Arabidopsis thaliana: one gene and its partner. The protein of the gene in region 1 interacts with the protein of each later gene in a pairwise test. Each region holds a gene or a part of one and is shown on either strand. Other genes may lie near its edges. The genes, in order: UBA2A and AT5G52547.

The links.
Region 2: the proteins of UBA2A (region 1) and AT5G52547 interact in a two-hybrid assay, tested with the Arabidopsis thaliana proteins (one large-scale study listed by BioGRID).

What each region holds. Positions count from the first base shown.
Region 1 is NC_003074.8:21,048,085-21,054,214, reverse strand, and holds UBA2A (UBP1-associated protein 2A), read left to right. Parts: upstream 1-1,894; 5' UTR 1,895-2,070; coding exon 2,071-3,507; 3' UTR 3,508-3,532; exon of another isoform or gene 3,533-4,460; 3' UTR 4,461-5,488; downstream 5,489-6,130. Other genes in the region: AT3G56870 (uncharacterized protein), read right to left, coding at 1-1,138. UniProt on the Arabidopsis thaliana protein: Heterogeneous nuclear ribonucleoprotein (hnRNP)-like protein that acts as a component of a complex regulating the turnover of mRNAs in the nucleus. Binds with high affinity to RNA molecules that contain U-rich sequences in 3'-UTRs.
Region 2 is NC_003076.8:21,325,354-21,329,708, reverse strand, and holds AT5G52547 (uncharacterized protein), read left to right. Parts: upstream 1-2,210; 5' UTR 2,211-2,261; intron 2,262-2,271; exon of another isoform or gene 2,272-2,402; intron 2,403-2,658; exon of another isoform or gene 2,659-2,777; 5' UTR 2,778-2,866; coding exon 2,867-2,869; intron 2,870-3,068; coding exon 3,069-3,386; 3' UTR 3,387-3,846; downstream 3,847-4,355. Other genes in the region: AT5G52550 (stress response NST1-like protein), read left to right, coding at 713-1,795.

The DNA of each region.
Region 1 (6,130 bases):
GTGAATTACAACAGTTGGTCAGCTGGAGAATATCAGTTGCTTCAGGAAAATTATCCTTAGTAATGTCTTCAGTTTCCCACACAATCTCGGAATCTTCTGCACAAAAATTGATGATGGACAAACAACCGGGGTAATCAATAGCAAGTATTTCTGGAGCTTCTATCTTCACAATCTCCAAACCAGTTACACTCATATCTAAGTTAGCCTTTATATCATTGCTTTCCTCATCCTCTTTATCTTCTTCTTCGCACCCAGAGCTTGTGTAAGCAGAAATGAAGTTCTTTACACAACCAATGTTCTCATATTCTGAATGTTGTGGATTAACATCCAATTCCATCTCCTCTCTAGACACACTAGAGTACAAAACAATTTGCTTATTCTGAAAATCAGCATCGCTAAACTCTTCTGATGCATCTTCAAAAGCTTCCTCAATGGCTACCACTCCGGGAAAATTTGGCTCTGCACTGCAGTATGGAACCAGCCTCATGTCACTGGACGAATCAAGCATTATTTCTTCCACCAACACTGTATTTATAGGAGATTCTGACTTTTCACTACAATCCATGGCTTCAGAAACTGAATAGCTATCATCCCAAACTTCAGGCTTGACATGAAAGAGCACCAACGGCAAATCAACCTTTTCCACAGATGGAGGAGAGGAAGTAGAAGTACCACACTTTGCTTTTTTACGCTCCTGCTTCTTCTTCCTTCTCTTGGAGAATTTCGTATCCCAACTGCTAAGAGGCTCCTCAATATCACATCCTTCATCTTGGGTCACATACTCTTTTTTAACTTCAACGTTCGAGAATGTCTCAGTAGTAGTATCTCTGCAGTTTCTAAGTTTCCTTTTCCTTTCTTTGCATTGTTTCTGAATCATCTCCAATGTTGTCATGCTAAAATCTTCAGACTCAGAACCTTGTGTAAAATCAGAACCATTGTCCAAATCCCTGACTACTCTTGGAATTGACTCAACACCTTGACTGTCTTCAAGATTGTATATATCCACCAACTGTCTAAATTTGAGCTTTGGTTTTCTTCTGCCATCCATATTCATCACTATTTTGATAGATCCGTCTTTAATGGTTCGGATATAATGTACATGAGAGTTCAAGTGTGTGCTACTTCTTAACTCCACCATTGTAACTATCAGATAATTACTTGCTAACAACTGATTAAGCTCGTATAATCCCCGCGCTCCTGGATTGAAACAAACAAAGGAATTACCGGTAAGGATACTGCTAAGTGCTAACAACAATAAACCAGAATCCTAAATTTCATTAAGCCAATCAGAGAAACGAACATCAATTAGCTACTAAACACAATTTGAAACCAAAACTCTTTTCTTAGAAAATCAATTGCACAAATCTGACCACGAAAAAGGACATGCAAATTAAAAAATGAAATTCACAATGGGCGGCGAAAACCCTAATTTCGCTACATCAATTTTTTTTGTAGCTGTATCGATTCGAGAATGGTAAAGAGCAGATCTGGGTAAAGTAGATGAATGAATCAAAGAGAAATTGAATCTAGGACATTGAATTTACCTTAAGTCTTAATCAACGCTTAATTGGATAGAGAAGGGAAATGAATGCCGAATCCTGGGCTCCAAACTCTAATTTCTGGATCTAGGGTTCACTAAAGAGACAGAGAGACATTAATTTGAAAACAAGACGAAGAAGAAGACCAAGAGACTGAAAATTGCAGCTCTTTGTAAGAAGGGAGGCGAAACCTTTTCTTTGGTTGTCTTGTCTTCTGAGTTCTGACTAATCTTATGAGCCGTCAAGTCTCGCGGGAAACACATGGCGGGAACTTTGACGTTATTCTTTTTTTCTTACTTAAGCATCTTTTCGTAAATGGGTCTTTAAACTTAAAGCCCAATAATCATTAATGGGCTTATATATATAAAATGGTTAGGGGTAAATGTGTAAAAATCCACTTAGCAAAGACTTGAGGTTGATGATATACCACCCACATAGCGGCGCATTATAGATAAGGAGGGGAAAATCAGCTTTTTGGAGAAGAAACCAAAGAAAACATTCGAAACCCTAAAATCTCCATTAGAATTCGAAAATGACAAAGAAGAGAAAGCTCGAAGGAGAAGAATCTAACGAAGCTGAAGAACCGTCGCAGAAGCTGAAGCAGACGCCGGAGGAGGAGCAGCAGCTTGTAATTAAAAATCAGGATAATCAAGGAGACGTTGAAGAAGTTGAATACGAGGAAGTAGAGGAAGAGCAAGAAGAAGAAGTAGAAGATGATGACGATGAAGATGATGGTGATGAGAATGAGGATCAGACGGATGGGAATCGTATAGAGGCGGCGGCGACGTCTGGATCTGGCAATCAAGAAGATGATGACGATGAACCAATTCAGGATCTGTTGGAACCATTTTCAAAGGAGCAAGTTTTGAGTCTTCTTAAGGAAGCAGCGGAGAAGCATGTTGATGTAGCCAATCGAATTAGGGAAGTAGCTGATGAGGACCCTGTTCATCGGAAGATCTTTGTGCACGGTCTTGGTTGGGATACGAAAACAGAGACGCTTATTGAAGCTTTTAAGCAGTACGGAGAGATCGAAGATTGCAAGGCTGTGTTTGATAAGATCTCAGGGAAATCTAAAGGTTATGGCTTTATTCTGTACAAGTCTCGTTCAGGTGCTCGCAACGCACTCAAGCAGCCTCAGAAGAAGATTGGTAGTCGTATGACGGCATGCCAATTGGCTTCTAAAGGACCTGTCTTTGGTGGAGCTCCTATCGCTGCTGCAGCTGTTTCAGCGCCTGCTCAGCATTCGAACTCGGAGCATACTCAGAAAAAGATTTATGTTAGTAATGTCGGAGCAGAGCTTGATCCACAGAAGTTGCTGATGTTTTTCTCAAAGTTTGGAGAAATTGAAGAAGGTCCTTTGGGTCTTGATAAGTATACTGGGAGACCTAAAGGTTTCTGTCTCTTTGTTTATAAGTCGTCTGAAAGCGCCAAGAGGGCTTTGGAGGAGCCACACAAGACTTTTGAAGGCCATATCTTGCATTGCCAGAAAGCTATCGATGGTCCCAAACCGGGCAAGCAGCAGCAGCATCACCATAACCCACACGCCTATAACAATCCTCGTTACCAAAGGAATGATAACAATGGTTATGGTCCGCCTGGAGGTCATGGACATCTCATGGCTGGTAACCCAGCTGGGATGGGTGGTCCAACGGCACAGGTGATAAACCCGGCCATTGGACAGGCCTTGACAGCTTTATTGGCATCTCAGGGAGCTGGTTTGGCTTTTAATCCGGCAATTGGACAGGCTTTGTTGGGTTCCTTGGGGACAGCTGCTGGTGTAAACCCAGGGAATGGAGTTGGAATGCCAACTGGTTACGGTACTCAAGCTATGGCACCGGGGACAATGCCTGGGTACGGTACACAACCTGGGTTGCAAGGCGGTTATCAGACTCCGCAACCTGGTCAAGGCGGTACAAGTAGAGGGCAACATGGTGTCGGGCCATACGGTACTCCTTACATGGGTCACTAAATGTATCATGTATCCATCCACTCAGGTAGAGCAATGAATTTCCCTTGTTTAATTGTTGAAATGTCTTTCCTCAGTATATATTAACTTACTGATGTCTGAAGACAAGAAGTTTCTGTGTATATCCACATGGTTTTTGTTTGCATTGGAGTTTTGGGGGATTTTGCAACGGTTGTTAAAGCATGTTACTTCTCTTATTTTCTTAAATTCATTGTGCAGATATCAGAAATCAGTGTTTTAATATTGGCCTGGTGATTCTTCTCAAGTTTATAAGGAGCTGATGCTAAATGAAGTCTTTATGAAATGTTACTCTTTGGTCACTCCTAAGGCCAAACTCATAAAAAACCTTTTAAGGAGTTTTAGTTTTCATCTACTTGTTTTTCCCAAACTCTCTTTATGAAATTCCTAAAAAAAACTTTGTACTACTATTTTCAGTGTTTATGTCTCTATTTTTTCAGTTTTCTGAATATCCCCCTTAGACTTTCATTTGTAAAACTAAAAAAGCGCAACTACGCTCCATGTGGGTCTTTGCTTATCGAACTCTAGTTTTTCCTAAATAGTTTTTATTGACTTCTCTGTTTTACGATTTCATGTGTTTTTCTGCCTGCAGTGTATTTTGTACCAAGTTATCTTGATTAACCTGGCTTTATGTACTATCCTGATTTTATGTTTGTTCAATTATTCCTCTTGCAGGTAATTGACTGCGGTTGAACAGCCAGATTATGTACCCCTAACTGTCAATGAAATTTCTTTAGCACACATATACTAATCTGAATGCAATTGGTTCTGAAATGATCAAAACTTGGAATTTTAAAATGCAGCAGAGCTCTCTCACTTGTGTTTTTGGATTTTCTATGACAAGTTTCAAAAGTTTTTACAATGACTATTTCAAATTAGAACTTTGTTTCCAAACTTATTTGTCATAAAATTACTAAGTTGCAGCCAACTTGGAACAGTCAAACTTGGTGGGAAGTGGTGCAAGCTTCTCAACGACACAGCTGAAGAATGATCTTTCTGAGGCAATTTCTCAATATTTGAAAAGTGGAAGCTATCGAATAGAGTTTCTCGACAACAGGCAGTTAAGTCTTTGGATCTCCACAACATGCTTGCAACTAAAAGGTAAGTTCAAAGTGTTGAGTATCTTCTTTGGCTATATACAACGTGCTTCCAATTGAAGGGTAAGTAATCAAAAGTGTTAAAAGTATATCTCTCAGTGCGAATCTCTTGCCTATATATGTTCTTGTTTATTGGTCCTAGTCCCTCTTTGAAGTGATAAAAGTTGGTTTTGGTCTAGAGAGCATGTACCTTCAGGTCCTTGTGCACAAGGTTCAGGGATTATTAGAAAAGTCACAAGAGTACGAGGTGATATATTATTTCCCTTAATGTTTCAGAGGAGTTTATAAAGGCGTGAATGCATAAAGTTTTTTTGGTGATGATTGCTTTGATGGTGAAATCTCTTTTTGGAAAAGTGCAGCTTTGAATATTATTTATGATGATGATACATAGTAGAAGGGTTCATTGATGATGAAGAAGAGAAGCAGAATATGAAGCTGAAGTGGAATTGGGGGAAGTAAGTAGTAGAGTTTTGTGTATTTGATCTCAAGTCAACAATCTCTCAATTGTTATGTCAAGTTTCGAAAAGGGAAAAAGGTCCTTCATTGATGAAGAGAATCCAAGATGCAATATTCTTCAAAGCCACATTCAATGTTCATAAAACCCAATCTGAGATTGGATAATAGAAAGTATAATTAAAGGTTTGAGATTTCAATATTGCAAAAAAATACATGTAAATTATTGCCTAAAAATGGTTTAACATGATTGCAGATTAATTTATAGTAATCACTTACCATTTAAAGAGAAACTCATAGGCATGAGGATTAGTGTTGAGAGCCAAAGAACATAAACATGTATATGTATAACCTTTTCTGATTAAAGTTTGATAATCAATCTACCTAAATTCCCATTGAAGCTAAATGAATGAAGGGTCTCCGAGCACATGTAGTGTTTATTGATTCCACCTTCATTTAAGTTAATCACTAATCATTAAGTGTTTAAACAAACCTCTGTTTCTTATTTTGATCGAAAGTTTGAGAAACCATTTTTGGGCAACTAAAAAAAGAAGAAACGCATTGAAAATTCCACAGGAGGCTTGAGAGGGGGGCATTGCCACAGTATCGAGTGTCACTTTCTCAATCAAAAGGTTTTCTCTCTCTTCTCTTTTTTCCTCTCCTGCGCGAAAACAAAACGAAGAGAGAGAGAGAGACTCAGACACACACAGACACAGAGTTTAGGTTTGCTTTGTAAATCTGTCTCTGCACTTATCATAGTTTCGTTTCTCTTTTGAGAAAGAAAAACCCAAACTTGCCATGTTTTAGATCTGGTCCTTTTTAAGCTCCAAAAGATTGTTGCTTTTTCTCTTGCTTAAGTTTTTGATTTATTCTTCTTCTTCGAAAAGTCTGTACCTCGCAAGAGTTTGATTGTCCTTGTGTTGCGATTTCCATGTTTAGTATCTGCATTTGATAGCCTTCGATGCTGCATGCAATTCCCAAGACTCTTTCTGATTGCTACAACGCCGTGATTTCTCTCTGCCATTTCCTTCGATTTGATTTCTGGGTTCTCTTCTTCT
Region 2 (4,355 bases), on another chromosome or scaffold:
CTTATGATTTGTTTCAAATTGACTTTTTATGTCCATGTTTCGTGGATTACTTTGTGTAGTTTGTGGCTAGCTTTCCGAATTTGGGTTTCAATGTTGATCGAGAGTATGTACATTCAACTTTGGTTGATTTATCTTGGTTTGTTGACCAGTGTTAGTTCTTTTGAATCACTGTATCTTCTAGGTCCCTTGTGCAATTGTGTTTATAGGTTGGTAACCTGAGTGAGTAATTAAGTAATCAGCTGGGTAACATCTGGTTGTGAAAAAGCTTTCTTGTTTAATGTTTTTGCATATAGCCATATAGAAAATAGAACTGTGTGGTCGTGCAGCTTTCATTAGGTTAAGAAAGCAGATGGGTTGGTTTGGTTTGGTATATTATTTTTGAGATCCCTGTTAACGCAAGTCTAATCTAGTATTGTTTTCTTTTGTAGAAAATGGGAGAAGTTAAGGGATGTTGGAAATTAGGACGAATGCTTTCAAAGGATAACTCTGCAAACTCCTACAACGTCTCCCTTCTCTTATCTCCTGTTGTTTCTGTTTGGGATTGTATTGTCCGTAAAATGAGGTATACCTACATACCTGAGTGGGTGTAGTAGTCATTGAGATCATCGCGCCTTGGTGTAGTGAGTTTGGTAGAATCAAAGTAAAAGGAAACAACCAACTAAAAGAAGAAGCCAGTTAACAAAAGCAAGGCAAACAAAGACTTGTAGCAATCATGGATAGCAGTAGCTCGATGTGCAAACAAGCTCAGCCAATTGTTAGAAAAGCCAGGAAGAAAAAAGTAAAAGGTGTAGTGGACCCAATTAAACAAGCTGAGAAGAAAAATAGACGTCTTGAGAAAGCTATTGCTACTTCTGCAGCAATTCGGGCTGAGCTAGAGAAGAAGAAGCAAATGAAGAAGGAAGGACAGCTAGAGGCAGCAGATGAAGAAGATTCAGCAGATGCTGCAAAGAAGAAGCAGGAGAGAGACGAACTGGAGCGTATCAAACAAGCAGAGAATAAAAAGAATCGGCTGGAGAAATCCATCGCTACTTCTGCAGCCATCATGGCTGAGCTAGAGAAGAAGAAGCTTAGAAAACTTGAGGAACAAAAGAGATTGGCTGAGGAAGGTGCTGCCATTGCTGAGAAGAAAAAGAGACGTCTTGAGAAAGCTATTGCTACTACTGCAGCGATCCGCGCTGAGCTAGAGAAGAAGAAGCAAATGAAGAAGGAAGGACAGCTAGACGCAGCAGTTGAAGAAGATTCAGCATATGCTGCAAAGAAGAAGCAGGAGAGAGAGGAACTGGAGCGTATCAAACAAGCAGAGAGGAAAAAGAGACGTATTGAGAAATCCATCGCTACTTCTGCAGCCATCAGGGCTGAGCTAGAGAAGAAGAAGCTTAGAAAACTTGAGGAACAAAGGCGATTGGATGAGGAAGGTGCCGCCATAGCAGAGGCTGTTGCTCTGCACGTCTTACTTGGCGAAGATTGTGATGACTCATACCGAAACACGCTAAACCAAGAAACAGGTTTCAAGCCATGGGACTATACTACCAAAATCAATCTTTTTAGTGGTGGAATAAACAGATTCTTTCCTCACCAACGGTGCTCAAGCTACGCGGTTCATGATAACAACAGAACAAGAGACAGTAACTGGTCGTCAGTCTCATATGAGCCTTTCGCAAGGGGATGGGATAACAACAACAACAACATGGGAATATCAGCTGATTTGTTTGATACTCAAGCTGTGTCGTCACTACAGATCTCTGAGAATACTGACGTTGACGCAATTGTCTTCAATGGGATGTTCAGAAGATGACGACTGTATCATAATTCCCAAGCATTTGTAACTTATTAAAAGTTTGTGTGCTGTTTTTTATTTTACACAACCAAAACAACTTTTTCGTCTCTTACACTGTGCAAATCCTTCATCTCTCTTTAGCTTTTTAGTGAAGTGAGACTCATACGATCTGTGTTTTTGTTTCCTTTGTGGTTGTACTTAATTTAATCCTTCTCAATTCACTGGCATTTTCAATACTACTAGGCTACTAGCAATAGCTTCAAACTTCAAAGTAAAAATTCGGACGTTGCGAGAATCATTTAACTAAAATGAAACGACGTGGTCTCTGACTTGGTGAGTGACTAATTTTTGACGTTCCAATCACCGGTTCGGTTTTATGTTAAACCGGATAGACATTTACTAGTTACTAGTTAGTAGTTACAGCCATAAATTCTGATTCTGGTGCTCCTGCTTTTTTTTATTGAAGTCTGCGTGCTTTAGCTTTGTAAGTTGCTTTCCATTGATACTCTCTAAATCTTTACAACATTCTTCATCTGTTATTAGTTCCTAAGTATATGAACTCTCTGCTTCTTCTCTCCAGCGTTGTTCAGTTGTGTGTCGAGATGTGCTCGAAGTAGGTGACTAGGTTGACTAACTAGTGATTAGGGTTTTCTGTTCAATTTTGGCTTGTTTCTGGTGTTTTTCTTAATTGAGCTGTTTTGAACTATTGATTATTGTGAGTTCATCACACTTGGAACAGACAATAAATTTGACTACAGATCCTGTTCAATAGAGAGAGCTAACTGCAATTCTCGTGGAGAAGCCTCTGTTTTTTTAATAGTGATTAGGAAATATTGAGTTACTGTAGTATTGTTAGATTGGTTTATGCATTTCTTTTGTAGCTTTTGATGAACAATTGGTCATATGCCATTATTTTCGGTTTTATGGTCCTTATGTGATACATTACTATTAAGTGTTTATTTTGTACTCTTACTGAAATCTTGAGAGCTGTTATTTTCAGGTGGATGCAGAATTGCAGACTATACATTCTTTTTTAAGTTCTTGAGCTTGGAACAATACTTTTCTCACTCTAGTTGTTTCTGCAATCAAATGGTAACACCAATCTCTAATGCAATTTTTGTTCATGTCAGTTCAAACTCTTTCAAGTTGATTTTTGTCTAGCTTTTTCTATTGAGGATCAAACTTGTAAACACGCGATTGAAACCAACTGTAGAATGACAGATCTTGTTTGTTATTCTGTCTTTATGTTACTTTGTGTCATCTTCTAAATACTTTTACATATACCTTGCAGGATACTGGTGGGTTTGTAGATGAAGAAAGCGATGGATCTCAAGCTTCTGCACAGTCATCAAGCTCCCAGGCAGTTAGCCATTCAGATGAAGCAATGTCTCGTCCATCAGGTGTTAAGGCGGCAAAGGCCGCGAAAGCTAAAAGGACTCTGTCAGTGATTAAGAGCATGTGGGAGATTAAGCAGAAGGAATTTGAATTGAACGAGAAGCTTAGCAAGAAGACGTTGTTGGAGACTCTACTTCGAAAAACAGCGCCGCTTAGTGATCTTGAAATGGCTTTAAAGAACAAACTTATCACTGACATATTGTCAAATGCTTGAATGGTGTCTTTTATGTCTTGAAAGTTAGTCTTTTTTGTTTCGGTTAACGCTTCTTCACTTGTTTTTGTTCAGTTAGGTTATGAATCTTAAGTTGTTTGTGTTCTGTTCTAAATTGGTTTGGTTGTGCTCTGTTCTAATTGGTTTGTGTTAGTGTTCAAATGGATTGGTTTGTGTTCTGTTCTAAATGAATTTAAATTCGATTTCAGAGTTTAAAAGGATGAAGTCCATGTCGAGATGCAAGAGTTCAAGGAAGCATAAATAGCAAGTACATGCAAGTGTTGTTCTGTTTTGTGTAGAAGTATATAGGCTATGGTCGTGTGAAGATTCACTTGAGTTTGTGTGTCAAATTTTGTGAGTGTATCAAGTTTTGAGAGTGTAGAGTCTGTGTCAAGTTTTGAGAGTCAAATGTATCCCAAACACTTTCACATTTTTTTCAAATGTTTATATTTTCATAGAGGTTGTTAAAATTTAAAAGGTAAAAACCCTTCAGATGTATCCCAAACTTTTGATTTTGTATTATTTCAATTGGTAAATATGGAGATGCTTTTATTTGGTTAAAATGAAGCGACGTCGTTTAATAAAGTCAGCTGGCTTTATAACTTGATGAATGACAATTGACTAATTTTGTCCGAATCACCGGTTCGGTTTTCTCGTTTAACCGGATAGTCCTTTACTGGTTACAGCCATAAATTCCGATTCTGCTGCTCCTGCTTTTTTTTTTTTATTGAAGTCTGCGTCTGTGAGATCACGCTTTAGCTTTGTAAGTTGCTTTCCATGGATACTCTCTAAATCTTTACAACATTTTTCATCTGTTATTAGTTCCCAAGTTGCATATGAACTCTCTGCTTCTTCTCTCCATCGTTGTTCAGTTGTAATCGAAGTAGGTGCCTAGGTTGACTAGCTAGTAATTACCACCACTCAACGAAATCCATGAGGTTTTGGCGATGAATTTAGGGATTTCTGTCCAAT